Linked DNA regions of Danio rerio. The protein of the gene in region 1 interacts with the protein of each later gene in a biochemical or structural test. Links are inferred from orthologs where the notes say so. Each region holds a gene or a part of one and is shown in the gene's direction. Other genes may lie near its edges.

What was found.
Region 2: the proteins of ptpn1 (region 1) and bcar1 form a complex in vitro, tested with the Homo sapiens proteins (3 studies listed by BioGRID and IntAct, with this or other methods). The link is inferred for Danio rerio from reciprocal best matches to the Homo sapiens genes PTPN1 and BCAR1.
Region 3: of the proteins of ptpn1 (region 1) and cdk1, one has a biochemical effect on the other in vitro, tested with the Homo sapiens proteins (2 studies listed by BioGRID). The link is inferred for Danio rerio from reciprocal best matches to the Homo sapiens genes PTPN1 and CDK1.
Region 4: of the proteins of ptpn1 (region 1) and stat3, one has a biochemical effect on the other in vitro, tested with the Homo sapiens proteins (2 studies listed by BioGRID and IntAct). The link is inferred for Danio rerio from reciprocal best matches to the Homo sapiens genes PTPN1 and STAT3.

The regions. Positions count from the first base shown.
Region 1 is NC_133183.1:30,340,710-30,348,262, forward strand, and holds the end of ptpn1 (tyrosine-protein phosphatase non-receptor type 1), read left to right. Parts: intron 1-2,754; coding exon 2,755-2,927; intron 2,928-3,003; coding exon 3,004-3,274; 3' UTR 3,275-5,285; downstream 5,286-7,553. UniProt on the Homo sapiens protein: Tyrosine-protein phosphatase which acts as a regulator of endoplasmic reticulum unfolded protein response. Mediates dephosphorylation of EIF2AK3/PERK; inactivating the protein kinase activity of EIF2AK3/PERK.
Region 2 is NC_133193.1:23,993,499-24,002,256, forward strand, and holds the start of bcar1 (breast cancer anti-estrogen resistance protein 1), read left to right. Parts: upstream 1-4,498; 5' UTR 4,499-4,723; coding exon 4,724-4,735; intron 4,736-8,758. UniProt on the Homo sapiens protein: Docking protein which plays a central coordinating role for tyrosine kinase-based signaling related to cell adhesion. Implicated in induction of cell migration and cell branching. Involved in the BCAR3-mediated inhibition of TGFB signaling.
Region 3 is NC_133192.1:22,201,965-22,209,800, forward strand, and holds the end of cdk1 (cyclin-dependent kinase 1), read left to right. Parts: intron 1-147; 5' UTR 148-161; coding exon 162-198; intron 199-322; coding exon 323-479; intron 480-1,191; coding exon 1,192-1,315; intron 1,316-1,623; coding exon 1,624-1,794; intron 1,795-2,519; coding exon 2,520-2,683; intron 2,684-4,532; coding exon 4,533-4,674; intron 4,675-4,760; coding exon 4,761-4,874; 3' UTR 4,875-5,208; downstream 5,209-7,836. UniProt on the Homo sapiens protein: Plays a key role in the control of the eukaryotic cell cycle by modulating the centrosome cycle as well as mitotic onset; promotes G2-M transition via association with multiple interphase cyclins.
Region 4 is NC_133178.1:15,775,438-15,782,109, forward strand, and holds the end of stat3 (signal transducer and activator of transcription 3), read left to right. Parts: intron 1-3,310; coding exon 3,311-3,411; intron 3,412-6,064; coding exon 6,065-6,171; 3' UTR 6,172-6,611; downstream 6,612-6,672. UniProt on the Homo sapiens protein: Signal transducer and transcription activator that mediates cellular responses to interleukins, KITLG/SCF, LEP and other growth factors. Once activated, recruits coactivators, such as NCOA1 or MED1, to the promoter region of the target gene.

The DNA.
Region 1 (7,553 bases):
AAAAAAGCGCTGTTCACACAGGCAAGGACATTCTGGAATATTTCCGGAAAAGAACATTCACACATCCATCACAAAATACTGGTAAATTCTGACATTACAGAAATGATCTATAAACGGCTAAGCTTGTTTTTGTTAACATAGAAGGGGTCAGGCTTTTGTTTTGTTGATAGTTTCAATTTTATTTAAAGCTTTAGCATTCATGCAGCTGCAGAAACATCCAAAGGCAGAAGTGCAAACCATAGCTAACTTATCCGCCAACTTGTCCAACATATGTTTTACACAGCGGATGCTCTTCCAGCTGCAATGTTTACACATTTGACTACATTACAAATTCTGTGGATGAATAAGTATTGTGAGCAGCTTCAATGAAAACATGGAGCAACACTTTCACATGTCGAGATGTATGTAACGTGTGTGTGCGCTGGCACTCACCGGCTTCTTCACGTGCACACGTGTCAAGCAACTGAAGCAGAGCTTGAAGATAAGCAAACAACTGTTTTTCATAAGCATTTTATCGCTAATTCTTTACACAGTTTGCATTAAGAAGGAACAGAAACTATAGGTGGGCATTGATTACATATTTTTTTTAATCTAAATTAATCTTGGAATTTATCAAGATTAAAATGGCTCATTTGAATTTTGCCAAAGGCATTCAGAATGCGTGCTAACCAAAAAATAATTCTTTGAGAATGGGTTTCTCAAGCCAGATGGCGCATTAGACAAGTGGTTTGTTCTTTGTTTGTGGATTACTCAATTAGCTGGATTTGGATGTTGACGATTTGACACGATCCAGGATCGTTTCGTTCTTCAAAACTCATCTGAGACTTGTTGTCATAGCAACAGTTCTGATAGATCAAACCTGCGTAGGAGCAGGTTCATTTTATAAAAACAGGATTAGATCGGGTCAGTACAAGCAAAGATAATACTGAAAGTATTACCAAATGCTGATAATTTCTTACACTATTTATATACACTTGGGAAAATAGTATACAAGTTAAAAGATGTATTGATAAAACTTATGCAATCTGCACTCCGAAATAAAAGTAAAAGACTGCCACCTGGTGGTTCAAAGAGAAAATTTATCGATAGGAACTTTTTAGATGCAAACGTGTACATGCAGAATATTAGACTTCATAAATGTTTTTTTTTAAATGTAATAATTTATGCAGTCATGCACATGTTTTGAACACTAATATTCTGGTGATTGCATTAAATTACACCTTTACCGATATCAAAATGTTTTTTTGATGCTAAATTAATTTATACAGTTATTCCTTACGCTATTTAAAAAACTTGAGTATGCCTAGGCTACTTTAATATAGAAAATCTTCTCTAAATGTAGAACTAAATACATTGATATGCATTGAAATACATGATGAATACTCTTGACACTTGTAAAGTCTGCAGTCCACACCAAATGTGGAAAGTTATTGCGCGTCACATTTAACAAACCATTTACTGCTAATTTGATGTAGTTTTGCTCACATGGATAATTAAATATTAATCAGATGATGTCATTACGCTGCTGTGCCATCAGCCAATAGTTACATTGCTAATCATGATTTCGAGGATCGATAGATCTGTCCATTACAACACATGCAGCGATCTCAGATTAGTTTATCCAGACATTTTAATCTGATTTCATAACTTGTTTGAAGAACCAAATTATCAAGATCAGTTATCAAGATTAAAAGATCCAGGATCTGCCAAATCATCTTAGATCATTTAAGCGAGGTACGAAGAACGGACCCCTGGGGCTCATCTCCTGTTTCCAAAATGCATCACAAACTGCTTGAGAAACTGTTCTACTATGATAATTAGTGATGAAAATGAATGATGTTCAATAAGATGTACTTGTGTTTACCAACTGCTTTTTTAGTTAAACAAGAGTTTTGAACTGTAGGCCTACATAAGCTCGAACCAGTGATTTTTATTTATTTATATATATATATAAAAATGTTTGAGATAACCTTAATCTGACTTAAGTCATAACTGAACTGAACAGAAATGGAATTAAGACATGGAGTATGCATATATTAGGGGCATTATTGAAGTAAACACCGCAATCAAACTATCACCGTCATGTAGGACTTTTCGCCATTTTTTTCGACAAGATCCACACACGCGGCTGTCATTAAAGGACCACACACATGCATATTTCAAAATGCAGAAGTTTTTTTGCTTTCCATTTGGTGTGCGTTATTAAATTTTATAACACTCTCACCAGTCCTTATTTGAGACTAATACCCCAGTTTGTCACGGAGGATGAATTAAATGTTCATGAGTTAAAGTAAAAACTACCGAACTGCTGTTAAAGTCAGGCATCCTGCTGATTTGATTAAGAAGGGCACTTTTTTTTCAGACAGCTCACCAGTCAGGTATACATCCGTGCTAAAATATCAAGGTGAAAGTCATCATAGCTTGCGTAGAATTGACCCAGCTCCTAACCCAACTTTGAGAATAGATTGTGGCGATATTTTTTTATTGAGCGATAGGAGTCTCGAGATTTGTTGAGAAACTGTATGAGGTTACTTGATAAAAATCATTGATCCGTTTGGGCTGAAGTGACAATCTGCAAGCTTTGGATGTTTATATCAGTTTTAGATTTTCTTACCGTTTATTTTGTCACTGTTTGGTTCACACTATCTAATAGATACTCTTAAAACTAAGACTAAAACTGACATCTAAAAAACTTTATTTTAAATTTCACAGGAGAAATTCAGTCAGTGAAATGTGTTTTGCTTGTGTGAACAGGAGTCTTGGAAGGAGTTATCCAATGAGGAGGATCTTCCCCCTGAACTAACTCCTCCGCCCAGGCCACCGCCCCGAATAGACCCTCCTAACGGCAAAGGTGACCTAGGGAACTCTGACCTCGCACACCTCTTCACCGAGAGCATCACAAACAGTGCAGAAATATGTGCAAACAGGTCAGCCTCTCTTTCTCACTAGTAATTATCATCCAAACCCAACAAGCACATCCCAACCTGTCTGGTGTTTTTACAGTGCGCCCAAGACATTCACAGACGGGCCAGAAATTCGCAAACGAACAGTCCCAGCAGAAGTCGGAGCATTGCCATTGGTAAATGAACAACCCGACGAACCGATCATCCCAAGAGAAGCTCCTCCCAAACCTCCGCGATCTCCTCCCTTAACTCCTGCAACGGAGGCTCCTACCACTGCCGCCCAAGAAGCCTGGAGCCCCCTGGTGGTCAGCTTGTGTTTGTGCACGGCACTGGCCGTAGGTGCTTATTGTTACCGCACATATTTCCACTGATGTCCTCTCTTTCCATCCGTCTCTTTCTCTATCTCTCCGATAACAGGCGGGATAAGAAAAAGAGAGACACACACAGACACTCACTCTCTCTCTCTCTCAGCTGGACCCATCTCTCCAAGTGGAGAAAGGGTTTCAAAGACTCCTCTCAGCCAAACTGCTGTTGTCTCCCTCTAAACACACTTTTACACACACAATCTAATAAACGTGTGTCCGTTTAAAACCTCAGGGCCTCACAATTCAGGTGTTGCTACCCAAATGTTATACACAGCTAAAAGAAAATCCAAAAGACTCTTATTGCTGCAGTAAGTAAGGGAAATTTTTGTGTGTGTGTGTCTGTGTGTGTGTGTGTGTGTGTGTGTGTGTGTGTGTGTGTGTGTGTGTCTCCATCATGTTTTTTTGTTTTTTGCAATTTAATTCTGACGACTGTCAGTGATGGAGCTGTTCAGGAGCTCCTTTTATACATGCTGAACACACAAACCTGCTGTACGTGATAAAAAAAAAATCTGTTTGTATGTGTGTGTGTGTGCGCGCGCGCGTGTGTGTTGGAAAAAAGGGAGGTCACAAGTAGACTGGGATGTCGAATACTATCAAGTGCTCAGTGTTACGCTACTTTCAGAGTGTAAAACATCCCAAACTTTTTCTCATTTTAAACATTTTTTTTTCCATCTTTGTGTACCCCCAAAGGTGACACTGGCACTTCTGTGTATGAAAAGAGATCATGTGACTGAAGCACCGTCCTCTCGTTCATTCATTCGACGTTTTGTCCAATCAGTCTTCGTTTAACCAAAAGGTTCAGATCATTGAAAATGCTGGAGCTGGTGTCTAGACGTTCAGTACAAACTTTTTCTACAGAAGCCCAATGCAATAATAGTGACTGCGGCCGATTAATAATCTCCAATGAGAGCTGGCATTTCAGTCATTTGAAATAATCATTGTGAATTTATATGGGTTTTGATAACATTTCAATTAAAGTTTGCTGTGGAAATCAAGTTATTGATTTCAACCAAATCCTTCATTGTTAGAACCTCTAAATACTCTCTTATTTTCTCATTTGTTTAATGATAGTCTGACCAGCAGGTGGCAGTATTGAGTATGATGAGATATTTCAGAGGATTGGATGGGGTTTGTTTTTTTCTGTTTTCCCTCCTGCTGCAATACAGATAAGTTCAGATGATTCTGACCCACGTCACATGATTTGATCGAAGTTCACATGGGGTCAGACTAACCAAAACAAAAACATAACACCAGCACCGAATGAATGCAAAGAGAGATACGACCAGTGACAGTGAGCTGTCTTTGTGTTTTACTGTTTTATTCTATTATTATAGTAATTATTATCGAGAGAGATTAACGGCAGACGGGCATAAACATTTCCTTCAAATCAATCAAACCACGCTGCAGAACTGTTACTTTTGAACAATGTGTGAACAAGTCCAATGCAGTAACCTCAAAACAAAAAGCAAGCCTCTTCTTTAAGGTGCACCGAGGCCTGAAACGCTTTTAATCGTGACTTCGCTTTGTGTGGTGTCTCTCTGACTGCTGCTTGACCAGTCCAGAATGGTCATTTTTTTCGGGGTCGCTGGGTGGTTTTTCCTGTCTGTAGGGTTTCGATGTTTTACATGCTGAAGCAATTGTTGTTTGGTTTGAAGGTTTTGTCATAACGAGTGCCACCATTCATCGTAGTGACTCTCACAATCTGGTCCCAAAGCGGGACCGCAGAATGTAAAGTCTCTTCTTGCCGGCTTTATTTACACACATACGCATATATAGAGAAATTTATTTGTCTGTGTCATTGTTTGTCGTCTTTCAGTTATCTTTGGCCTTTCTGTAACGAGGCTGAGAATTTAGTTTCTCTTCCCAACATCCTGTTGTGTCCTTTTTAATGTTGATTCTTTTTGTTTTGTAAGTAAAGCATATGCTTGTTCCAGTTGGATGTATTGACATTTGAAATTTTATTTTTTTGGACAGAATACAGAGCAGACGCTGTGGTAATAAACATATACATCTCTGATTCTCCTGTTTTATTGCTTTTGATCTTATTTCATTCTTAGTTCCTCAGATATTATTATTAATAGTCTCATATATTGATTTAATATGAATAAAATCTCTCGGTGAGTGCTAATGGTAAGGTAATTCTAAATCATAGATTACAGGCTGAAAATCTATGAGAAGTATGGTCTAGTTTAAGCTTGTTTCATCATCCTCTTACTATTTAGTTCACGCTTGCGTTTGATACCACATTTAAAATGTCACAGAAACTAAATGTATGCAGGTGTGGGTTGTGGACTGGTTCTGTGCCCTGGGGGTCTAAGACTGCCAGGGGCTGCCAAAGCTTTAGCCAGACTAACTGGAGACCAAAAGTTGTTGAACCGGTGTCCTCAGTGGCACTTTTTTAGCTTCCTGAGCTACTATGTACAGGTAGTAAGCTAAAGTGCCACTTATTTGAAGTAACAAAGTATGTAAAAACACTTATTGGCCCCTTTATTACGTACTCCTGGCTAGTACCTAGTTGGAGACCCTTTTTTGTCTCAATTCTTCAGCATGTTGACTCCGCGAGGTGCTATGAATATTCCTCCAAGATTTTGGTCCATGCTGATTTGAAAGGTCAACAAAGATTTATTGGCTGCACGTCTATGACGTCAATCCTTCGTTTCGCCACATCTCAAAGGTGCTTTATTGGATTGAAGTCTGGTGACTGTGGAGGCCATTTAAGTACAGTGAACTCAGTCATGTTAAAATTATACAGTTTGAGATGATTTTTGTAACATGGAGTGTTATCCTTAAGATGGGTTCACTGTGGTCATGAAGGGGTAAAAATTTTCCACAGAAATAATCAGGTAGGCTGTGGTGTTTGAAGAATACTTCATTGGCACTAAGGGGCCAAAATGTGCCAAGATGTTGTCTCCTACAATACTGATATGAGAAAGGATGGAGCCATGCTTTCATGTTATTTCCACCATAATTTTGAAACCATTTGAACATCAAAGTAGAAATTGAATCAAATAAGACCAAGCAAACTTTTCTATTTTCTGTCGTACACTTTTGGTGACTCTGCGTAAACGATCCTCGGTTTGCTTAACAGGAGGTGCACCTGTGTGATCTGCTTCTGTAGCTCATCTTGCTTCAAGTTTGCATGCTGTGTGTTGATCTTCTGCTGACCTCTGTTGTAATGAGTGGCTATTCAAGTTGCATTTGCTTTTCTATCTGCTTAAACCAGTTTGGTCTTTCCCCTCTAAACTCTGTCATCAATAAGACATTTTTCACCTATAGAACTGCTGCTCTCAACGGTGCCGAGACGTTCAAAGTACAGAGTGGACCAAAAAACATTCTCAAAACATTCCATCATGACGTCAGTGGTTCAACTGTAATGATTCAAAGCTCCACTCAACGTCTGTGTGCCAAATAACTGGGAAAAAATGATTTTCTTCACCAATGTATTCTCTTTCGTGTCATGTGAAGGTGCGCGCTAGTGTTTTTAGTGCCAATGAAAAACTTTTCAATTCAATTAACCTTTATTTGTATAGCGCTTTTGCAATTTAGATTGTGTCAAAGCAGCTTTACATAAAAGATCAAAGTAAATTGAAACAGTGTAGTTCAGTTTTCAGAGTTTAAGTTCAGTTCAGTTTAGCTCAGTTCAGTGTGGTTTAATAATCACTACTGAGAGTCCAAACACCGAAGAGCAACTCCATCGATGCGCAGCTCTACAGATCCCGAACCATGCAAGCTAGTGGCACCTTAAACTTCCAGTGAAAGGTTAATGTGACTATTTTAAAAATTATGAGGTTGCTTTTACAGCATTTACATTATAATAAATTGATTTGTTTCTAACAGAAATAAACATTAAAATTCTTTAACAAAAAAATACATTTCAACATGGTCAAAATGGAGCGGGATAAAGCACAAGCTTATTATTTTACCACCCCATTATTACACACATCATTTGTCTATTACTTAAACTAATTTCTTCTTTTGCTTGAGACATATTTCATCCTTTTGGCATCTTTGACATATTATGTTTGATTCCATTTGTACATTTTATAACAGACCCAAAATATACAGTATTGCAAACAGCCAGAAATTGAAATTTCATTATACCTTTCTAATTTTATTCTTTTTCAATCACCTTAATCATTCTATTCCTTTAATAATATATATTTATACAACTTTTTAAATTGATGAATATCCTGACATTGTTTGAGAGTCAGTTCTAGACACAATTTTTTAAGTCGTCTTAATCTTTCTTTCTTTCTTCAAGAAACATTTGTATACATTTCGTAAG
Region 2 (8,758 bases), on another chromosome or scaffold:
CTATTTTGTTTAGAAATATGTTGTGTTGGGAGAAAGGGATATATTTTTTACTATTTTTTCTCTTTTTCTTTTCATTAAACATACATTTCTATTAGTCATTTAAAGGTCATAGATTAACTGAACGCCTACTGTTGAGTTTGAGATGCTGTGCATACTAATAAAGCATTTTTGCAGAAATTAACTTGAGCACTGCAGTTGAAAAACATCTTTTTCCATTAAACAGTAATTGGGGAGAAGAAAAAAACAGAAGGGCTTATAATTCAGGCTAATAATTCTGACTTCAATTGTAAAAATAAAGCTACAAATCTTTCAATGTTTAAGTAACTTTTGTAATTAATGTACAAATTTTTACCTTAAGAGACAAAATTTGTGCTTTAACATATTAATACGTACACATTTCAGACCAAAACAGAAAAAAGTTGTCAAAAGAGGTGAAAACATCAGGTGTAAACAGCAGTGCATCTACTCGTGATTTAGTCAATTCAATAGCACATTAATACCAAATGAAAACAAATGCCCTTGCTGATCTGATCACAAGTGAACAACATTAAACAGAGATGTAAACACTGTCTACATTTCTTTTAGCTTGTCCACTTTCGACCACTTTCAGCAGTAGTCAAAAAAGAATTAGACTGACTTGTTTTTGTAGTGTAGATACTCATGTGGTTAAATGCCACAAAAGAGCTCTACTCTACTGAACTAACAGGATCATTTTAGGACATGCTGTTAGAAAGCACACCAGAACAAGATATTTGCACTTGCTATGTGTACCACAACACACAGCTTACTATCAACATCGTAGTCATCGTCCACTTGCTTGTGTCACATTTTAAATGTATGGAAATACCAAGTGACGATATTTGATGGCAGTCTAGTCTTAGAATGTTTCATGTGGAATCATTTTAATCTTCACAAGAAGATTCAGGAAGCAAAGATCACCTCATTTTCACCTCTCTAGTGCTTTGTGACAGGCAGTTAGACCTCTCACCCCTAGACGAGCGTCGCCCAACACCCGCTATATAACAGAATTGTGATTAGTGGGCGCTGACGGAGAGAGCTTATTAGCTGGAGAGCGGGAGGGGGTGGAGCGCTAATTGAAATGATGTCTGATGTGATAGCCTAATCTCTACGGTGACAAAATTCACGCACACTTGCTAATTTCAATGACAGCCATGATGTCACTCAGGCTTAGCGGATGGAAATAACTAACAAACGTCCCAGGGCGTGTTTGAAAGAGAGAATGTCGTCTCGGACATCGAAATCCATCTTGCGCCGTAGCCGCTCCGTAGTGTGAGATGAAGTGCCTTTCAATTGTCATGGAGACCAGACATGGCACAATAAAAGCTTTAAATTCCTGCGGCACTTTCAATTAGGGGGGATCTTGCTGATCTGACACCAGTTGTGCCATGTAATTTATGACCATTGCTCATGTATCGAGGACTGTGTCTCAATTCCTGATCTGCCACAATTGGTAGGCTGTAAGCATGGATTTGGATACTAAGATGGGCTTAAATACACTAAACATTGGGATAATGGTGACACAGCAATATTAAAAGTCCCTGTTCTATTAGCATCAGTGCTGTTTAGCACATCATTGTAAAATATATAAATCAGTTAATTAACAGATGCTCTTCTTTTCTGATTCTAGGGCATTTCCAGTTTATTTATGCGTTCAAATTGCAATATGGGACGTTGATCTGTGCTCTAACAACTTTTAATGGTTAATTGTTTAAAAATAGAGGAAATCGGTGGCTCAGTGGTTAGCACTGTTGCCTCACCGCAAGAAGGTCCCTGCTTCGAGTCCTGGCTGGGTCAGTTGATATTACTCTGTGGTTTTTGGGCGGCCTTTTGTCTCGTTTTATGCTTGAACTACTAAATAAATGCTTAAGTCTATTTAACTGAATGTATTTTAATGACATTACAAGATCGATGCTGTAAAAGCAACCTTGTGAAATTGAAAATAGTCACATTAAGCTTTTACCGGAAGTTTTTTTTTGTTGGCTGAAAAACACTAGCTGTGCATATAGCCCACAGATTATTTTAGATGAACTATCCCTATAAACTAAAGTGATACATAACTGTACACTAAGGCAGAAAAAAGGCTTCGTCTTCAAATGTATACATTATTATTTCATAGTGAATTAATATAGTGAGCACTAACTGAGTGTTTCTCAACCACATTTCTGAAGGACCACCAGCACTACTGTACATATTTTGGATGTCTACTTTGTCTGTCACTCCCATTACAGGTCTTTCAGTCTCTGCTAATGAGCTGATGATCTGGATCAGGTGTGTTTGATTAAGACATGACAAATTTGCAGAGATAGGAGCGTGGTTGAGAAACACAGCACTGGCTCACTGGAAAAAAGCTTTGAAAGGCTTTGTTTTCATATATTTACATTATTATTTTCTAGTTAATTAGTATAGTGAGCACTAGCTGATTGTATGACATTTTAAGGCAATATCTAGGTTATTTTTAAAATGCACTGGAAGGATTTTGACAATGTAATCCCTACAGATGTCATTAGTAATGTACTTTTGTGTTGTTCCAAAATTTTACATTCCTTAAAATATGTGTTTTTATGTTGCACATATGAAAATGTTATACCGGTTTAGAAGAAAATCAAAGAACTTTATTTGAAAACTAGAGAGCGAATTGAAAAATGTCTTTAATCCTATTTTACCTCCAAAAGAGATGGTCATCTCTACTAAATTATCTCAGTCTAGGTCATTTATGAAACCATTAATCAACAAGTGATATTACAAAATTGGCTTCAGCTTAAATTGAGTGAATATTTTCCTTCAGATCAGGTCAGATTTAGGAATGCTGATGTGAAATCTTGATGCCCTGTTGTCTCGTACCTCTCTGACCTCCCCTGACCTCCCCTGACCTTAGCACCAGGCCACACCATGATGTCGTGGCAGTTTGAGGTCATTATGCATCTTTTCTGACACTACTTTTAGAAAGGCATGTTGACTTACTCTGTGCCTCAGAATCATCTGAGGAGTAGATTTTCTATCTGTTATCTGTGAATCGCAGGAGACAGTGCATTAGGACATTCTGCTTTTGTCTGTTTACCACATTGATTTAAATGTGGATCCCACTTTGACCCCTGACCTGGTCACTCCCTCATGGGGGAACCAGCGAATGATGTCATGCTTTGAAATTCATGGTGAATTGCGAACACTAAAGCAAACAGGGGCAGATTAGCTTAGTTTATTTACTTAACCAATGGTCGTCATTCAGAGCTATTTCATTTTTAAATAGATACAGATAAAATGTCCACATTGTTTATTTTGCATTTTGATTTTTTTTCAAATTTGTTGTTTTATTGAAAAAAAAAAAATTATATACAAATGTTGTTACATACCTGTATCTCGTTCATTCCTGAGCCGAACATGTACACACAAATGTGCAATCATTTTATTTAATTTTTTTATTACATTTTTTATTCTATTTTTATTTAATTTGATTTAATTAGCTTTTATTCATTTTTTATTATATTATATTATATTATATTATATTATATTATATTATATTATATTATATTATGTTTTATTTTATATTTTTTATTTAATTAAATTTTTATTTTATTTCATTTATTTGTTTTATTAAAATTGTATTTTATTTAGTTTTATTCTATTCTATTCTATTTTCTATTTAATTTGATTTTCATTTATTTTTATTTAATAATATATATGTATATAAATATATATATAAATAAATAAATATATATATATATATATATATATATATATATATATATATATATATATATATATATATATATATATATATATATATATATATATATATATATATATATAATTAGTCTTTTTAAGCTTCATATGTTTTTTTTATCAGTCTGTTTTTTCTCTGTAGTTTGTGATGCATCTAAATGATTGTACTTTAAAATAGAGACAGGAAATTAATCAAGAACAAAGTTTTGCTTCAGCAATACTCTGAATAAATAGCTATGTAAATAAATCCATAACAAAGCTTTCCATCTCAATCTTCCCAATCCTTCCTTTTCTGAATTGATGGTACTTTAATAATTCAGGCAAGATATATATTGAGATAAAACAGGTTAAACATTTCCAAACACTGCAAATGTCAATAGAGAGTTAAACTTTTGTCTCCTTGAGAATGGATTTACTGCTGGAACAAAAGGATGGGCAACAAAATCAGCAAGCCAAAAAGTTGAGGCTGAAGGAAAGGGTCTAGACAAAGCTGTGTGTTTGTGTGTGATGGCCAAAAAACCCAGTATGTGTGTGTGTGTTTCTCAGGTCTACAGAGAGGTTCACTAAACATTCCTCACAGGCAGGGGGAGGAAGAGTGTAAGGCTCATTAACATAAGAACAGAGTCCTCGGCCAATCGGCAGCAGGGAAAGGGAATGTCAGGATTGAGAAGGAACTGGGAGGGTGTCAGGTTTCCCTGTGCATTCTTCCCTCCTCCTTTTGCCGGAGAGGGTGGGAGAGAACGAGCGCAGGAAGGACGCAGTGAGAGAATCAGCGACTTCAAGAGACAGAAGTATATGGGACAGTCTCGTTCTTGCCCTCTGACATCACGGAATTGGAGTATGTGTTAGAAGCTGACTTTCTGGGAGACGCGGAGAGGTCTGACAAAAGAGTGGACGGTCCGAGTGGGATTTCTTCGGGGGTCAAATCTCAGGCAGTTTAGTGCTGTCTGGAGTCCCAGAGACTCGCACGGCAGGGCTGAAAATGAATTATCTGGTGAGTGTGCTTGCTGTTCTCATTGTTGTGTGAGCACTTTAAGTTGGTTATGCGAAATGCCCTCGGGTGATACTTTCTGAATCAATGTCTTTGTGGACAGCAGAAAAACAAGAGAGTCTTCAAGATTGGCTTTTATCAAGTTTTCTGTCTTATTAGCATTATATGATTTGTTTTTATGGCAGCAGGAGATCAAGTAGCTTGAAAAGCTCTAAAAGAGGCAGTGTAACACTTTTTTGAGAGGCTAGCAGTATATATTTGAAAATGAGTATATATTTCTATTCTTGAAAAGAAAATATTGAGCTTTTTCTTGAGTTTTGAAAGCTGTGAGAAAGCAGGCATAACAGGAGGACGAGTGGACGGAAAAGGAACCCTGCCACTGTTAGCTTCTTCTTTGCTGACTCAGGAGAACGCTGGAAGATTAAGGTTTTTATGGAAAGAAGTATGGAGAAATTTTAGGGAGAAAAGAACAGCGTGACGTGACGGCCGGACCAGTGAAGCATCCATTCCTTGCCATTGTTTGAAATTGCTGGCTCTTGTTCAGCTTGTAAGAGTTGAGAATGACACAGTGCTTAGGTATTTGGACGTGAGAGTTGGGCTGTGCTGTGTTTCCGTATGAGAGGAATCTGGTTCTGGGATTCACCCCCTGCAGAGGCCGGGATATTCCCTGGTCATTAAAATAGACCTTGAAATGGTTATGGGCAGTTATTAATGCAGTTCAGACAGATGATTCTTGGAGATGAGAATTTAGGATTTTCTAGTTAATTTTATTTTTGAAGGCATTTATTATTTTTAATTTGTCTACATATATTGGAAATCTGTCAGTTTAGTCGCTTATTCCATCTGGTGTTAACACGCTTTTAAATGTGTCTTATAAGCAAGTTTGTTATGGTACACTAAAGCTAAGTATGACACTTTGAATTGGTTCACTTTTTTAAATGCATCCTATAATGATTACGTGATATGATATGTAGGTAGTAGCAATAAATGGATGGAAAACCCAAACATTAAAATTTACTCAATATTTACTGACCCTCAAGTGAAACTTTATAATTTTCTCTTTTTTACTTTTTAACATAAATGTGAATATTTTTAATAAATACTTGAAACCCCTATCCATTACTATCCATGGTAGAAAATCAATTGCTATCGATTTCCAACATTCTTCAAAATATTTTTTGTTCAACATAAGAAAGAAATGTATGATTTTTATTGTATGTATATATATATATATATAAATATATATATATATATATATATATATATATATATATATATATATATATATATATATATATATATATATATATGTATATAGAAAATCTGTGAATTGTAGTCCGTTTTCCACCTAAATGTCTCTATGTTACAACACTTACAAATCAGCATGTTATGCTGTTAATGTTAATAAAGCAAAGTATGACAATTTGTATTTGTTTGCTCTTTTACAATGCGTCCCATAATGATCACAGGATAGGCTGGTAGTAGTATTAAAGTGATGGTTAACCCAAATATCTACATTTTCTTAATATTTACTGACCCCTCAAGTGCTCTCAAGTATTTTCAAAACATTACCATTTTCTCTTTTTTTTTTTTTTTTTTTTTTTTTTTTACTTTTGAACATAAATAAGGATATATAAAAAATACTTGACATCTACATTAATATCTACAGTGGAAAATAAATTGTTACTGGTTTCCAACATTCTTTAAAATATGTTATTTTGTGTTTGATGTAAGAAAGACACTCATAAAGGTTTGGATCAAGTGGAGAATGAGTAAATAATAATAGAATTGTCATTTTTGACTGAACTGTCCCTTTAAACTGGTTTATACTGGTTTATACTGGTTTCTCCTGAGGTGGTCCATGATGAAGATGAAAATGGGTGATACGTACTATTGTGAGTGCATAGACTGTTGACTTATTGAGATCATTCTTTAGGTAACCAGGCTGAATCAGTTACTAAGTTAAGAATGTTGAGTCATGTTTTGTTAGGGATCTTTAAATAAGAGAAAGACTCCTTCTTCAGAGGACAGTTGAGTAACCTGAGTCCATCTCTCCCCGTGCATCGCCTCTCTGACTCAAACCCTGACTCACCCTGCAGCTCCTCAGTTTAGGAGAGAGGAATTCCCCACCACTGGCCTGAATCCCACACACTGTCCTGGGGGTCTGACGTACAGGACCAGCTCCTCATCCTCATTATCCTCATACTCGCATGCATACAATCAGCATCAAGTTGTGTAGAAGTAGCGCTGATCTAGTCCAAATTCAGCTCATTTGGTAACATCATGTATAGTTGACTAAAAATAATCTAAGCGCTACAGGAAAACATTTACAGAAGTTTACCTAGAACTAAAAAGGTTGGCAGGTGTGATCAATACTAGAATGTTTTTAGATTAATACTTAACAGAGGAGTGTGCTGATTTATCTAAAGCCATGTTTCCACTAGATAACAACATAGACAGAGAAGCATCTATTGTGACCATGTGTGTTCAGATTTTGAGTCTTTACATTAAAAAAGTGGTCCGATCTACTTTCAAAAAAAGTTTTTGCTACTTATTCAAACTACTTATTTAAAATGACCTGAATAAACACAATTCTTGAGGCTCTTTTGTGACAATTGTATTGTTTTTGTACAATGCACTTAAATTTGTAACAACAATTATATATAAAATTATATACACCAGAACAGACAGACACAGAAACAGTTTCTTCCGTCATCTCATGAACACTGTATGATAGTAATTGTGAAACAAACATCACTATTTTTTATACACATATACATTTATTTATTTAACAACATACACTGCGAAACACAAAAAGTTAAGGTAACTCAAACCGTTTAAGGACACCGATTGCAACAAACCATTTAAGTTTAAATACTACTCCTAATGAGTACTGTGAACTTAATCCATTTGAGTAAATGAAGCAATCTGAGCACAGTAAAACCTGATAAATGAATAGAAATCAAACCAACTGAGTAATGTAAGACCCAAAAGGTTAAGGCAACTCAAACTGTTTGAGGAAACCAATTGCAACAAACCATTTGAGTTTAAAAAAATAATCTATATAATCCATATAATAGCACAGCATTTTCTGCCAGGATAGTAAAGATTTACACTTTGTTTATTTCTTTCTGGGCCAGTTTGTTAGATGCAGATGAAATCATCTTTAAAAGAGAGAGACAGCTTTTAGATAAAAAATATAATAAATTATACATCTCCAACTGAAGAGACACAGTCATAGAGCCAGAGAGTCTTCTTTACAGAGGAAATTGTGTTACCGCTTTTTCATTTAACAGGAGACTCTCGATTGTTTCTCCTTAAGTGTCTTTTGAAACAACTGTGACAGCTTGTCATACAATATGATGTTTTATTATTGGTTTACTAAGCCTAATGCAGGTAATTTGGTCAGAGAAGCATTATATCAACATATTTCTTTACAGTTTGCAACTACTGGTTATTATTCTGGAGTCTTAAAGGGATAGTTCACCCAGAAATTAAATGTACTCATCATTTATATTCCAAGTGGTTCCATACCTTTATGAGTTTCATTTTACTGTTAAACACAAACAAAGGTATTTTGAAAAGAAAAAAGTAAGAAACCTGTAACTAGGCATGGGACGATAACTGGTTTCAAGGTTTAAAACTGCTAGAATTTTCTGTTATACCCTGCCTAAGGTATATTTAAGTTTGTTATTGTGTTTTTTTTTATTTTGTTGTAAAAACAATCAGTGTTTTTGAAACTATTAAAGATAGCAGAAGATGGTTTTTAATTATTTAGCCTGACATTTACTCTTCCAGAATATTTAAAATGTTTCTTAAAATAAAAATAGTGTTCAATAGGGGAAAAAGTTTTTTTTTTTACCCAGACATTTAAAAAGAACTTATATTTAAGTAATATCACAATACCGTGATACAGTGAAATTGTGATATATATATATATATATATATATATATATATATATATATATATATATATATATATATATATATATATATATATATATATATATAATTATTTTTTAGGGT
Region 3 (7,836 bases), on another chromosome or scaffold:
TTTAATGAAGAAAATAAAGAGAAAAGTTTCATTATGCATCCAGACTTTTTTTCCTCTTTCTAAAAATAAAAAAAAAATGATTCTGAAAATGTCATGTTATGCTGTCATTAATTTACTTTTTTTATTCTTTGTGTTTTTTCAAAAAAGAGTGTTTGGGGAAAATGGATGACTATCTGAAGATAGAGAAAATTGGTGAAGGTAAGATTTATCTTGTGCTTATTGTCATTTACATTAGCTACTATTATTCTTAGCTAGTCTCTAAATAATAAAACTGAGAGTGTTTTTAGTGAATGTCTAATGTAAATATGTGTGTGTTCTTTAGGTACGTATGGTGTAGTATATAAGGGCAGGAATAAAACCACAGGACAGGTGGTGGCGATGAAGAAGATCCGTCTGGAGAGTGAGGAGGAAGGCGTTCCCAGCACTGCTGTCAGAGAAATCTCCCTCCTCAAGGAGCTCCAGCACCCAAACGTTGTACGGTATGACAGATTTCATTACATGTTTAACAAAACAAATAATTTAGAGTCAATCAGATTTACTGTACAGAAAGTGCTGTTTGTATGCCTGTCTCTGTGGTGGTGGGTTAAAGACGGGTTGGTCTAATACAGCTTTATATTTTACTCTCTATCCATTGGAATGTGTTTGGTTTAATATATTTGTCCTGAACAATAAAAATAGTTATGACAGGATAATTGATGTCATCACCCACAACAAAGTAATATATTTTAACAATATTTAATATACCTCGCAAAAAAAATTGATCAGCATATTGTTATATCAGGAATTGTGTGATGACATTAAAATGCTGTTAAGGGTTCACAGTTTAAAAATGTATGTAGGTTGATAAACTACTACTCAAATTTGGGTGCTGTTTTTAATGCTTACCAATGCTTTGTTAATTTGATTAAAAACTATTGTGAAGTCTTACCACAGATTAATGTCTGTTATAAATGATGAATTTTCAGCATTATTACTACAGTCTTCAGTCTCATTATTCCTCAGAAATCAATCTAACATACCATTATTACTCCAGTCTTCAGTCTCAGTGCTTCAGAAATCATCCTAATAAGTTGATTTAGTTTACATTTATGTATATTACTAGTATCATAGTATAAACAGTTTTTGTTTTTCATATTTACTATGACAGTATATGTACTATTTTTACAAATAAAGTGTTTCTCTTTTTCCCAGCCTGCTAGATGTGCTGATGCAGGAATCCAAATTATATCTAGTTTTTGAGTTTCTGTCCATGGATCTGAAGAAATATTTGGACTCCATCCCATCAGGCGAATTCATGGATCCTATGTTGGTCAAGGTGTGTATTTTTTTTATTATTTTATATATATATATATATATATATATATATATATATATATATATATATATATATATATATATATATATATATATATTTTTTTTTTTTTTTATTTATTTATTTATTTATTTATTTTTTTTTTTTTTGGTACTGTAAATACAACGATTTTGTTTCATGTGCCTTTCATGCCCCGAAATACATAAATACTACATTCCTCAATGTTTTATAATGGCATGTGTTTGGATTCTATACTATAGTATTGAATGTGTATCTTGAAGTAACCGTGCTGATGTGTGTTGTCTATGTAGAGTTACCTTTATCAGATCCTGGAGGGGATTCTGTTCTGCCACTGTCGCAGGGTTCTGCATCGAGACCTGAAGCCCCAGAACCTGCTTATCGACAATAAAGGTGTAATTAAACTGGCAGATTTCGGCTTAGCCCGTGCCTTTGGGGTCCCAGTAAGAGTCTATACTCATGAGGTAAGTACACACATCCCACAATGGAGGCCACATTTCCATCCGCTATTACATTCACACTTAAAAAAAAATAGACATTTTTGTAATTGAGTAAAGGTGACATAAGTGAAAATTTAACACAAACTATCTTCTGTCAACTATATACTTCATTTATACCCTAAGAAAATCAAAGAAAATACTGAATGTGTATTATAGATGTATTCTTCGAGCTAAACCTATGATTTCTTTAAATTGGAAAAATGGATGTACACCAAATATAGGTTACTGGCTGAAAGAAATGGTTTTAAATACGACAGTAAAAAAGATAACCTATATATTAAAAGATAAATGCAAGGTTTTTGAGGGAGATCTTTCAAATTGTTTAGTTGTACTTTTTTAAATTAACTTTATCATATATTGTACCTATAATGTGGCTATTTCACACAGTCTCTCTCATTAACTAGCTTTTACTAACGCAATGTGTAAAGTGTTTTATCGTCACTTTATAATAATTTAGCAATTTAGGGTGTTTATTTTAAATATGAATATACAATACACAATTATTATTTTTTTGTTATAGCTGTTAGAAGTACTTTTTTACAGCTTTGGTCTATCATGATACAGCTTCAGCAGTTAATCGCAACAAGAAAATTTGATACTGGCAGAAGCCTAATACCAGTTGATGATACTTGCTCAAAATGTTATAATCACTAATGCTGACGTGTGTGCGCATGATTATGATTGTGCAGGTGGTCACTCTGTGGTACAGAGCTCCAGAAGTGCTGCTGGGGGCTTCACGCTATTCCACACCTGTAGATCTCTGGAGTATTGGCACCATCTTTGCTGAACTCGCCACCAAGAAACCTCTCTTCCATGGAGACTCCGAAATAGACCAACTCTTTAGGATCTTCAGGTAGACAAAGTTCAGGAATCAGTGTTGACATTTATTTATTTATTTATTTTTTATTTTATTTTTTTTTAACAGAGTTTTAAAAGTATAAAAGAAGTTTGAAAAGGTCAATTAGGGCTGTACTTGGTAACAAACTTATTTGCTCGTGTTAAACTGCACAGACATTAGGGTACAATATTGTATTTATAGTACAACATGTATTCTCTATGATAATATAATTGTTGTATTAGCGCACGTGTGAACATGTTTGAAAACCTTGAAATAGACATTCTCTTTTCTCTCTTACTCATGAAAACAATAATAAGTAAGGGAATATATTAGTAATTTTATAAAAGGGGAAATTATAACAGTAAGAGAAAACTTATAAAATGATAAAGTAACAATAAAGAAATGGTAACAATATTAAAAATGGTAACATTAACAAATAACCAAATAGCTAAAATTAAATCATGAACTAATGGACGATTAATGATAAAATAATCAAATAACATATCTAAATGACAGATAATTATAGATGATTTAATTAAAATATGTATAAATAAAAATAAAATTGAAAATAAAAGAAAGAAAATAAAATGCAACACTAATGTGTAGTTCCTTTCCTGAAGCAACATACACTAGTTCCAATAAACCTCCTCTGATTCTTTGTAGAACTTTTTTAGGAGGTTTTATTATTATCATTTGTAGTAGTTGTTGTTGTAGTTGTATTTTGCTAAGAGTTTTTAGAAGAAGAAAAAAAAAGTAAAATCCCAAAATGGGTCTTTTTTTTTTTTTTTTTTTTTTTTTTTTTTTTTTGTCAATGAAACTGGACCAAGCTTACATGGCATTAAAAATCAACAAATATTTATCTACATGCACATATTATTTTGATATTTGACACTAAGAACACTGATCAATAATCATTTTAACTTAATATAGTCAATATAACAATAGCAAATAACAAATAATAGCATTTTCCAGAAGTCCACTAGAAATCGATACTAACCATATGACTTTGTTTGCTCACATTGCAAGTTTTTTAGTGAACAGTTAATCTGTGCATATCATTATTTAAAAAAAATAGTTTGACCTTATCTTTAATTAAAATCTGAAAATGCACTTCGTTTTTCTTTTTTTTCTCTTCTCTTCAGTTAAATTGTCTGATTATATATATCTTAAGTATTGGGCATAGCTTTAACCACGCTGCTCCAACTGTCAGTTTTGACAACAAATGGTGAGGATGAGGTGTCTGTTAGGTAGTAATAACTCTCTTCTAAAACCCATTTCCAGATCTTTCTGTATGAAATGCTTATTTTATTACATCTACTCCGCTTGAAGCAACAATAAGTGAAGTTTCACAAACAAATTTCGAGAGGAGCACGTGATGTGATTGATCGCAGCTGGTCTCTCATCTACAATCATTAGTTAGCAAATCAGATTAATCCAAACTTACTATAAGTAGGCCAGCAAAAAAATACTTCCTTATCTTCCTTTTTTCAAAGAAACCCCCCCCCCCATCCACCCCTTCTCCCCCTTTCCTCCTTTACCACGGGGAGCTATCGAGAACCACCTGATCTCGTACTCCCCTTACATGCTCTATCGACCAGGCGGGAGCCCTGGGCTCAGTTATTGCTGAGCTCAGGGTTCTTTCCTGGGACAGCATGCCAAACCTGCTATCATTGTCAAACAATATCTAAGTGTGAACTCTTGAAAACAAAAATATGATTGCAGCTTCTGGTTCATATGGACTTACTGGCATACAAATAAAATATGGCTTTAATGTAGTTTTGTAAACTGGAATGCAAACATTTCACTAAAAATATAGTATTTTTCTTTTTTTGTCTTCCCTCTCTGTGGTTGATCTGTGTTTTAGGACTCTGGGGACCCCTAACAATGAGGTCTGGCCAGATGTTGAGTCTCTGCCAGACTATAAGAATACCTTCCCAAAGTGGAAATCTGGGAATCTGGCCAACACTGTGAAAAACCTGGACAAGAATGGCATCGACCTTCTCATGGTAAAAGACTGTCCTGATATGCTTGTGTCCTACTTGTTTCTTTGTGTTCATCTCACTCACGTATTTTCATTTTCTCCTTTGTTTAGAAAATGCTGATTTATGACCCCCCTAAGAGGATTTCGGCACGACAAGCAATGACACATCCGTATTTTGACGATTTGGATAAGAGCAGTCTTCCAGCCAGCAACCTAAAGATATAAACACAAACACATGCATACTAAAGCAAGCAATGTGAGCGTAGGGCTCACGGTGAATTCTGGGAGTTCAGAGAGCCCGGAGATGTAGATTTACTCCTCCAACCTGCAGTAATGCAATCCGAGTCTTTTGACACGCAATAATCAACCTTCAGTTTGTTTGTTTGTCAACTGGGTGGTTTTTCCTAATTTTGTTTGTTTTTTGTATGTCTTTTTCTATCCTGTTATATGTTACATAATACCCCTTGTAAATAAAGCGTGTATTTTTTGTCGACCTGAAGTGGTATATAAAAAGAATAAATTAAGGTGTTCCCAATTAAGAGCACTTTGTAGGATCCCATTTTGGGCCGATGTCTTTATCTACACTAATGCAGATATTTTTACATTGTGTTTAAAGTGGGTGTTTTTCTAGAGATGCTCAAAATTATTACAAACAATTATATATTTAAGATGTTTACATGTACATGTTATTTTGATCTTTTAAAGGCACAAAGAACACTGATCAAAAATCATTTTTAAATTGCTTCTATTTTGTTTTACTTGATAATGACAAAAACACGTAGTAATTGATAACATTTTCCAAAAGTGCCAGATAAACATACTGGCATACAAATAAAATATGTCTTTTATGAAATTTTAAAAGACGCACAAAATGCTAATTATCGTGGTTAATAGTATTATGCAATATCTGTGGTGCAGAGAAGTGTGATGAATGGATTTCTTTATGCCAAGCATTTGTGTGTTGCAAATTACCTCCAATTAAATACACAATTAAGAGTAACTCATTTTCTGATGACGTGACCCATGTTGTTTAATCTCGAGCCCTGTCACAAACACAGCTTGTTTTAAGCCAGCCTATGCTTGATGAAGTTCCAACGAAAACTCTTGTGCTGGTGATCCTAATGTGAACAGACGCTATCTATAGAGGATGAGAGAGCGCTCAGATTTCAACAAAAATATCTTTATTTGTGATCCAAATGAAGAAGTGTTGACTATTTAAATTTTTGGCTGAAATAATTTTAAATTAATTTGTGAGAAATTATAACAGTTATGTGTTGCAAAATGTACTCACCAGCACACAAAATGACTGGTTTTCTTCTGCCTATATTTTGTTAATTATTTTAGTATGCTAAATCGGCTCTTTTCCTTCTTTTTTTGGTAACCAAACACAAACTTTTCCAGAATGTCGCAGGGATGTTTTTTCACTATAAAATAAAAATCTGTTCAATTGAAATTCTGAGGTTGCCAGAAATTTACAGTTAAATATTCAGTAGAAACAAATTCACAGTAAACTCATTCATTCATTTTCCTTTTGGCTTAGTCCCTTTATTAATCTGGGGTCGCCACAGCGGAATGAACTGCCAACTTATCCAGCAAGTTTTTATGCAGCGGATGCCCTTTCAGCCGCAACCAATCTCTGGGAAATCACAGTAAACTACCATATTTAAATTTATAAAGTTACATACACCATTTTCACCTGCCATTATGATATGTTTACTAATGATAACATAAATATTTGTCCTCTGATCTGTGCTATAAATGCAATTTCTGTATGACTCAAATGATTGCAATCATTTTTTATAATTACATTTGCTGAATTTTCCATATCTTCTGTTCATTTATGGCATAGGAAGTAAGCTGAGGTAGCACCGAGTTCCTCACATCAGATTGCGCAATCCCTTGCAATCTGGCTTGAGCGCCTGCCTTTTGCTCACTCAGTGTGCTACCGATGTAATGCTTTATTAAAATGCTTTAATACATTGTAGACTTTTTTATTATATGCCCTCACTTTCCATATTATAGGTAATGTATTTCACGTATGTCTATCACTTATTTAGTGTTAAGATCTGTCATAAAGCCGCAGTGGCGGATTTGGGCATGGGCGATCACACAAGGCGGCATCTCGCTGGGGGCAGCACAGAGAGACGGAAAAAAAAAAAGTGCCCCAGTAATAACTTTTATTTCTTGGGTAGAGGATGTATTTGGGGTGGTTCGCTCAGGGTGCCATTTAAACTAGAATCGCCAATGAAAAGACATGAGGTGAGGCAGGCAGTAGCTCTGCCGCAATGAATAGGGTGCATGTGAGCTATACGGTTATTCTTGTTCAGTTGTTGCTCTTATATTTTGCTTCAACTGACTGCAAAAATTACGGATATCAGCTCAAGAATTTCTCAAAATTGGACTTTTAATCAAAACGTGGATAAATAATGGACGACCAATGCCGGAGCTAAAGGAATTGCTTCAAAGGACGGGACAGAAGAGAACGCGTCCATTTTAAACTAGTTCAAGTCATTTCAAGACTCCATTTACAAGTACTGTAGGTAAGAACAGTGAGCGAATCGTGTGTGTGTATGAGAGAGAGAGAGAGAGCGCATCCGCAGCGGTTGCTGTGTGTGTGTGTGTGCTGTGGCATAGCACAAAATGCATGGGCCTACCCGCAAGAGTTAAGGTTTGATTGCGTGAAGAGGGTTGGAGGAGGTGCTTATGATCGCACGAAGTGAAGACTAGGGGAAGGGTTCTTATGATCGTGCAATACATTTTACACTTTTCCTTGGCCCAAGATGTACCTGCCATGTGTCTACAAAGAATACTGATATAAAACACAATCAATAAATCTGATTCATGACTCTAAAAGAGTGCCTCACCAGCCACAAACCTCACCGCACATTACTGATATACATCAATGTGAGATATATGAGTCATTCTCATCGCAAACAGCTTTCCCACAAGCAGAGAAATAAACAAAACTTTACTACTAAAGTAACTTACTACTTACAGCGTGGGTCTCAAACTCGATTTCTGGAGGGCTGCAGCTTTGAACATAATTTACTTTAACCCTTATCAAACACAGCTGATCCATTTAATCAAGGTGTTCAAACGAGTCTGGAACAGCTTGTTTAGTTGGATCAGCTGTGTTTGATGTGGGTTGGAGCAGAGCTGTGGCCCTTCAGGAATCGAGTTTGAGACC
Region 4 (6,672 bases), on another chromosome or scaffold:
GAATAAATGTCAATGGAGAAAGAAGCTTTTTGCAAATGTAATAAAAAGAAGTCTACATCCAGAGTTCATTCACATTTTGTTTTAATATGGAAATACAACTAAAGTCAAACAATGAAACACAAAGGCTGGAGATTTTCTTTCCTCTTGTAGTGATAAATGAACACATAGTCCAGCTTTTGCTTGAGAGCTGGACGTTAAGTGCAAGTTTTAATGATCCAGGAAGCAAATAGAGTTTTTGGCTTAATCTATTATTGGCTTTATCTTATGAACGTGCTCTTTAATCCTGTTTTCCTGGTAATGATACTAATGGCATAGAAAGTGTTTCAAGAAAAATTCTTACAAAATCAAAAGTGTTTGAAACAATCATTTAGTGCTTAATAAATTCTCCATGTCCATTCTCATAATGCTAACATGAGCAGTATGTGATATGTTAATATGTTTATTTTAAGAATGATAATGTAATTATTAGGGATCTGGCAACCCAAGATTAGTTTGACCCACAGTCGACAGAATTAACATTTAAAGCAATGTTTAATGTGAAATTCAACCATCAGCTGTTTTGAATTAGGCAAATAAAGGTTTGTAGAATCACTTCATGATAGTAAATAAATACACACATCTAGGTGTCCATCCCGTAAGATCAGCAAAGCCTGTTTTAAGTTCAATTTAATTTATTTCAGTATACTTTATCATCCTCAGTTGGGAAGAAACAAACAACATAACACAAACCATGCAGTAAATTGCATTCAAAGAAGAGAATTACACATTTAAATATTTAATTAATGGACATAGAAGAAGATTTCTTAAAACAATTGTATCTGCACACAGGCAACCTTTATCGTCTACCAGAAAGCAGTAACTCATACTCAGAGAATAAGATATGTCAAGAGTTGGATAATACTCTATTAGATTCATTAAGAGCTGATTTCTCATAAAATACCTGGCAACTTGTCTTAATACAACTGTAAAATGTCTCGAGTCAGCAGGAAATAATACCGCTCATACAAGTTGATTAATCTGACATATAGTTTATGACCACCAGAAACATCCCTAATTCTTTGCTATATGATCTAATCTTACCTTGCTGGTGTTTGCCGAACAGACAGAACATCAGCTGCCAAATTGTGTTTGTTTTCTTGTCTCGACACAAGCAGGAAACGGTGTTGAAATCCCACTTTATTAAAATAAACTCCCCGTATGATTTGTTTGGAGTGTTCACAAACATGCATGGCTAAACTTTGCCCCCTAGTAAATCATTTTCTTTGTTGAGACTTAATGATTGAGGACACCATAGTTAGGGTCAGATTAAAAGTAGGTTACGCTTTACTGTATGCAACATACTGTAGATAAATTAGATCTTTTAGTGCCTAATTATCAGGAGCAATAATCAAATAAACTCCGGAAGTTTAGATTGTGTACAAACAAACTCTGCAATTGGTTGTAATGGGGTTTTATTAACATTAGAAGAAAATGGCAGAGTTAAGAGGTGAGTCTAGACTCCTTTTGTTGCCAGATCATTCTATTAAAGGCACTAAAAAGAATTTAATAAAGAAGTTAATAAAATAACCAAAATAAATCAAAATACTTTCTTTTGTAAACCTACATTTTAATTTGATTTTAAAGTCTATTAGACTGATTTTGTTGGCCGATCTTGCTAGAAAAAGCACCAAAAATAAGTTAATAAATTAACCAAAATTAGTCGAAATGCTTTATATTGAATACCCCTTAGAAAAAAAGAACTAGTTGATATATTAACCAAAATGTTTTATATTGAAAACCAAAATAACATTTTTGATTGAAAAGTCTGTTAAACTGATTTTTTTTTTTGCCTGATCTTGCTAGAAAAATAAATCACTAAAACAAGAACAAGTGCATAAATTAACCAAAATTATTCCAAAGGTTTTCTATTACAAAAGATTTCTATATTAATTTTGTTGCCAGATCCTGCTAGAAATATTGAAAACCAAAATTCAAATTGAAAAGTCAGATTAGTCAGATGAATTTTGTTAGATTGTTTTATGTTAGGTTTCCCAGTGATGGGTTGCAGCTGGAAGGGCATCTGCTGCGTAAAACACATGCTGGATAAGTTGGCGGTTCATTCCACTGTGGCGACCCCAAATTAATAAAAGGACTAAGCTAAAAAGAAAATGAATGAATGAATTTTATGTTAGATCAATTATGTGGCCAGGTCCCGCTCGAAGAAATAATAATAAAAAAACTAGTTCAAGAACAAGCTCAAAAATGAGCCAAAATAAATCCAAATGCTTTTTATTCCAAAAACTTTCTAGATTCTTATTTGTCAGATTCTGCTAGAAGAAATATTGAAAACCAAAATTTTAATTGAAAATCAGCTTGGTTAATTTTTTTGTTGTTGTTTTTTTTTTAGATTATTTTTAACTATGTTGCCGGGTCCCACTAGAAGAATTTTAAAAATAAAACAAGAGCAATCTCATAAAGTAACCAAAATGAATCCAAATGCTTTTTTTATCCAAAAGCTTTCTAGAATCATTTTTTGCCAGGTCCTGCTAGTAGAAATGTTGAAAACCAAAATTTCAATTGAAACACTAAAGAGCATCAAGCTCATAAATCTATGAGCACACAAGCTCATCAATGAACCAAACTTCAATACAAATGCTTTATATTAAAAATCAAACAGGATGTCTTCATGAACCAAATCCAAACAGGCCAAGCAGGTTTGCCTGTGATTATTAAAAATGAACAGTGGTGGATGCCAAATCTGCAAAATGCCAGAAATACGCCTGTATTTAAATTTCATTGGCACTTTCTAACCTTTTCTATAAATTCAGTCAATTAATAAATGTAAATAATAATTAAACTAATGAAAAGCATGTTTCTTTTCAAATGACAATGCTGTTGATGTTTAATCTGCCACTTTAACATCCTCTAACATTCATGATAACAATCTGTTAAAGGGTTAGTTTACCCCAAAATGAACTTAATTTGCCTATCTATAAGATTGTTGAAACCTGTATGACTGAACCCCTTCCACATTGCTGACATTTCTCAAAATATCTGATTTTCCACTGAAAAAAGAAAGTCATGCAGGATATGAGGGGAGTGTACACGATGACAGAAGTTTCATTTTTGGGTGAACTTTCAGTATTAAGCAAGTGGTGTCCATGTGTGCGACTCTAAGTGTGGGTTTGTGTGAGTTTTAGTAGGTGTTTCTGACACATATGTAAACTAGGACGGAGGCCGACTCATGCTGTGAAAGATTTCTTACTAAATCAACACATCTGTTTGCGTTTCGTTTGTCATCATGTCTAATGTCAATGTCTTTCTTTTGCAGGACTAACTCTGGCAACACAAGCGATTTGTTCCCAATGTCGCCTCGCACGCTCGACTCTCTCATGCACAACGAAGCTGCTGAGGCCAATCCAGGACCTCTCGGTGAGTCATGACGTTTCAACAGCTTATCATGTTTATGAAAAAAGATACATATTTATAAATAGTCGAATACAAAATAAAAGTTTGTTCGACATAAGATATGTGTGCATTATATATATACATATATATATATACAACAGTTCTGTCTGGTTCTCAAATCTGATTGGCTGATAGCCATGCAATATTCTGCAATATCAGAACTCCTACAGCCTCTTTAACCCTTTGTGTATTACTCCGCCCACATACAGCCAGCAAAAAGCAGACACTACAGATCTAAAGTTTAAAAGATGCACACTCAACTGTTTAACTGTCAGCTTATGATTTGAATCCGGAAGAAAGTAGTTCCTCATACACAAGAGTTTTTGAGACTCTCCAAGTTTGATTTTGTTTTTATATACACAATTATGCTGTCAAACTCGTAGCAGTGCGATAAGGCAACGCACGCTTCCCACCAGTGCCGATATACAGCCATATCGCACTGCTACTCGTGTGATATTGCTCATATATATATATATATATATATATATATATATATATATATATATATATATATTTATATTTACCGTGTGTTATATACACATACAGTTGAAGTCACAATTATTAGCCCCTCTTTGATTTTTTTTTTTCTTTTTTAAATATTTCCCAAATAATGTTTAACAGAGCAAAGAAATTTTTACAGTATGTCTGATAATATTTTTCCTTTTGGGGAAAGTTTTATTTCAGCTAGAATAAAAGCAGTTTTGATTTTTTTTTTAAAAAGCAATAGAGTCAAAATTATTAGCCCTTTTAAGCTAAATGTTTTTCAATAGTCTACAGAACAAACCATCATGATACAATAACTTGCAATAACAATAATAAAATATAAGGTTTACAGTGCAAATACAATTAGAATCACTTGTTTAATAAACCAAGCTACAGTAAATCTCTCATATAATACATCCACTAAAAACAGGAATCATTAGTTTACAAATTATGTTGTACATAAATCCTCAACATCTGCTTATTTGTCAATGATATTGCTCTAATTAATATAAAAACGATAATGTAATATGTGTAAGAATAAATATTTACTCCCATTTACAGAAGAATGTAAAATGATTGAATGGTGGGCTCAAAAAGAAATCTAATAGTAGTATTAATAATAAATAATTACATCATTAAACGTGTATTTAAATTACTTTTCTAATTACTATTTTCCAAGGCATGTGCAGTTGTCTGACAAATCCAACATTTAGTTGAGAAATGAAATTATTTAACCCGCAAAGTATCTAAAGAGGAAAATACAATCACACTGTTCTAGTCTACAGTAATATTTATTTTATCATGAATTAATTAATCACTCCTTTTATTGTTTCTTAAGCATGTTATGTTGTCTTGATAAATGTCACCTTTACTTGAAAAACTATTGTTTTTATATATAATATATTTGTATAGTAAAAAACAATACAATAATTTCTGTTTTTCAAAATTAATTTATAAAGAACTGTTGAATTTAAGTTTCTGTGTAACTGTAATGGGTTATATGCACATGGACTTTTAATTTTAGTCAGCCAGCCTCAGCAATCTTTCCATTTATAAAATTGCCATGTTAAGGTCTGATTTCTTTAAAAAATTAATGATATTCACTGCCTGATAGATATAGGATATAAAGTGGATCTCACACCGGCCAAGAAGAACTGCGTCAAATTCCATTTCCCGCCATCACATCTTAAAAATGTGGCCGTTTATTTTACCCCAGTGTTTCTACTGTCAGAGTTTCTGCGCTCGCCTGCTGATCCTGACTGCTAGTGGTTACTTGGTCTTTAATTTCGATTTCCCTTGAACAACTAAATAAATGAATAAGTCTATTCAACTGAATGTACTTTAACTACATTACAACATGGATGATGTAAAAGAAGCCATATGAAATTGAAAATAGTCACATTAACCTTTTACCCTTGTTTGTAACCCACAATCAATTTGTACATAAACGAAATATGGCAAAGAGAATGGGACAACTGCATAAAAAATAAATTACATGAAATTAACCCGTAAATAAACAAAAGGCATTTAGCAAATTATAGTTTTGAGACCAGACATGATCAAACGGTCTATACCAGATGTCGAATCGGACATTTTAGGTTTGCTGAATAACGAAGAATCACCTAAATGTAATGTACTGCCAGGCTGCTCTTACCATAAAACAGATTTTGTTGGAATGTAGAAGTTTAAAATCCATTTGACAAAATTTTTATAAGGAGGGTATTTTGATGGACATCTTTAAAAAGGTACCACCCGGAAGAGTTTTAAATTATTTATCAAAAATTGAACTGAAATATCATATTTAACTTTGAAAAAGAAATGTGTGCCATTTTATCTATTAATATTTTATATATTTGTCTATGTAACTTTTTTTTTGTAATATGAATTTGTTTTTATCATTTAATATTTTATGTACATCCATTTTGCCACGAAATAGCCATAAGTTGCTGATGTGGCAAGAAATAAATAATATATAAATAAATTAACCTTTCACAGGAAGTTTATCATTGGCTGAAAAACAAAAAACAAAAAAAATCCCTTACTTTTTTTTTTTGAGGATAAGTAATTTAATGAAAGTAACTTATTACAGCCAACCCACCTTCTTATAATACTGTGTGTTGCCATGTTTCCCCAGAATCCCTCACTCTGGACATGGAGTTGAGCTCTGATCATGCGTCACCCATGAGAGAAGGGTTTGCAGCCTCCACAGTCTCGGATATGGACACCTGCCGAAATGCTTAGTTTTCCAAGATTTTAGTTTCATTTTTTTTTTTTTTTTTTTCCATTGGGAAAAGCAATTTTCATGTATATAGTGAGCTTAGGTGCTACAACTGCTTTCTCTCTCCGAGCCAAATTTTGCATTTCTTTTTTTGATTTTACAGTCAGTCAAAAGTGCAAACAAGCTAAAGTTTTCATTTCAACCTCGACAATACTGAAGTTGACTTTAAAATTAAAAAAAAAAAAATAATAATGGTTACACTGTAAAAAATGCTTTTCTTGTTTAAAGTTTTTGTCTTGTTTCTAGTCCAAATATCTACAAAATCTTAAAGGGCACCTATTTTACCCCTTTTACAGGATGTAATAATCTTTTGGTGTCTCTAGAATGTGTCTGTAAAGTTTCAGCTCAAAATACTCATCAGATTATTTATTATAGTAACCAGAATCTGCACATTTCGGTGTCTGAATACAGTGTAGCTGTTTCTGTAGCATGTCTTTAAATGCAAATAATCTACTTCTCCCCAC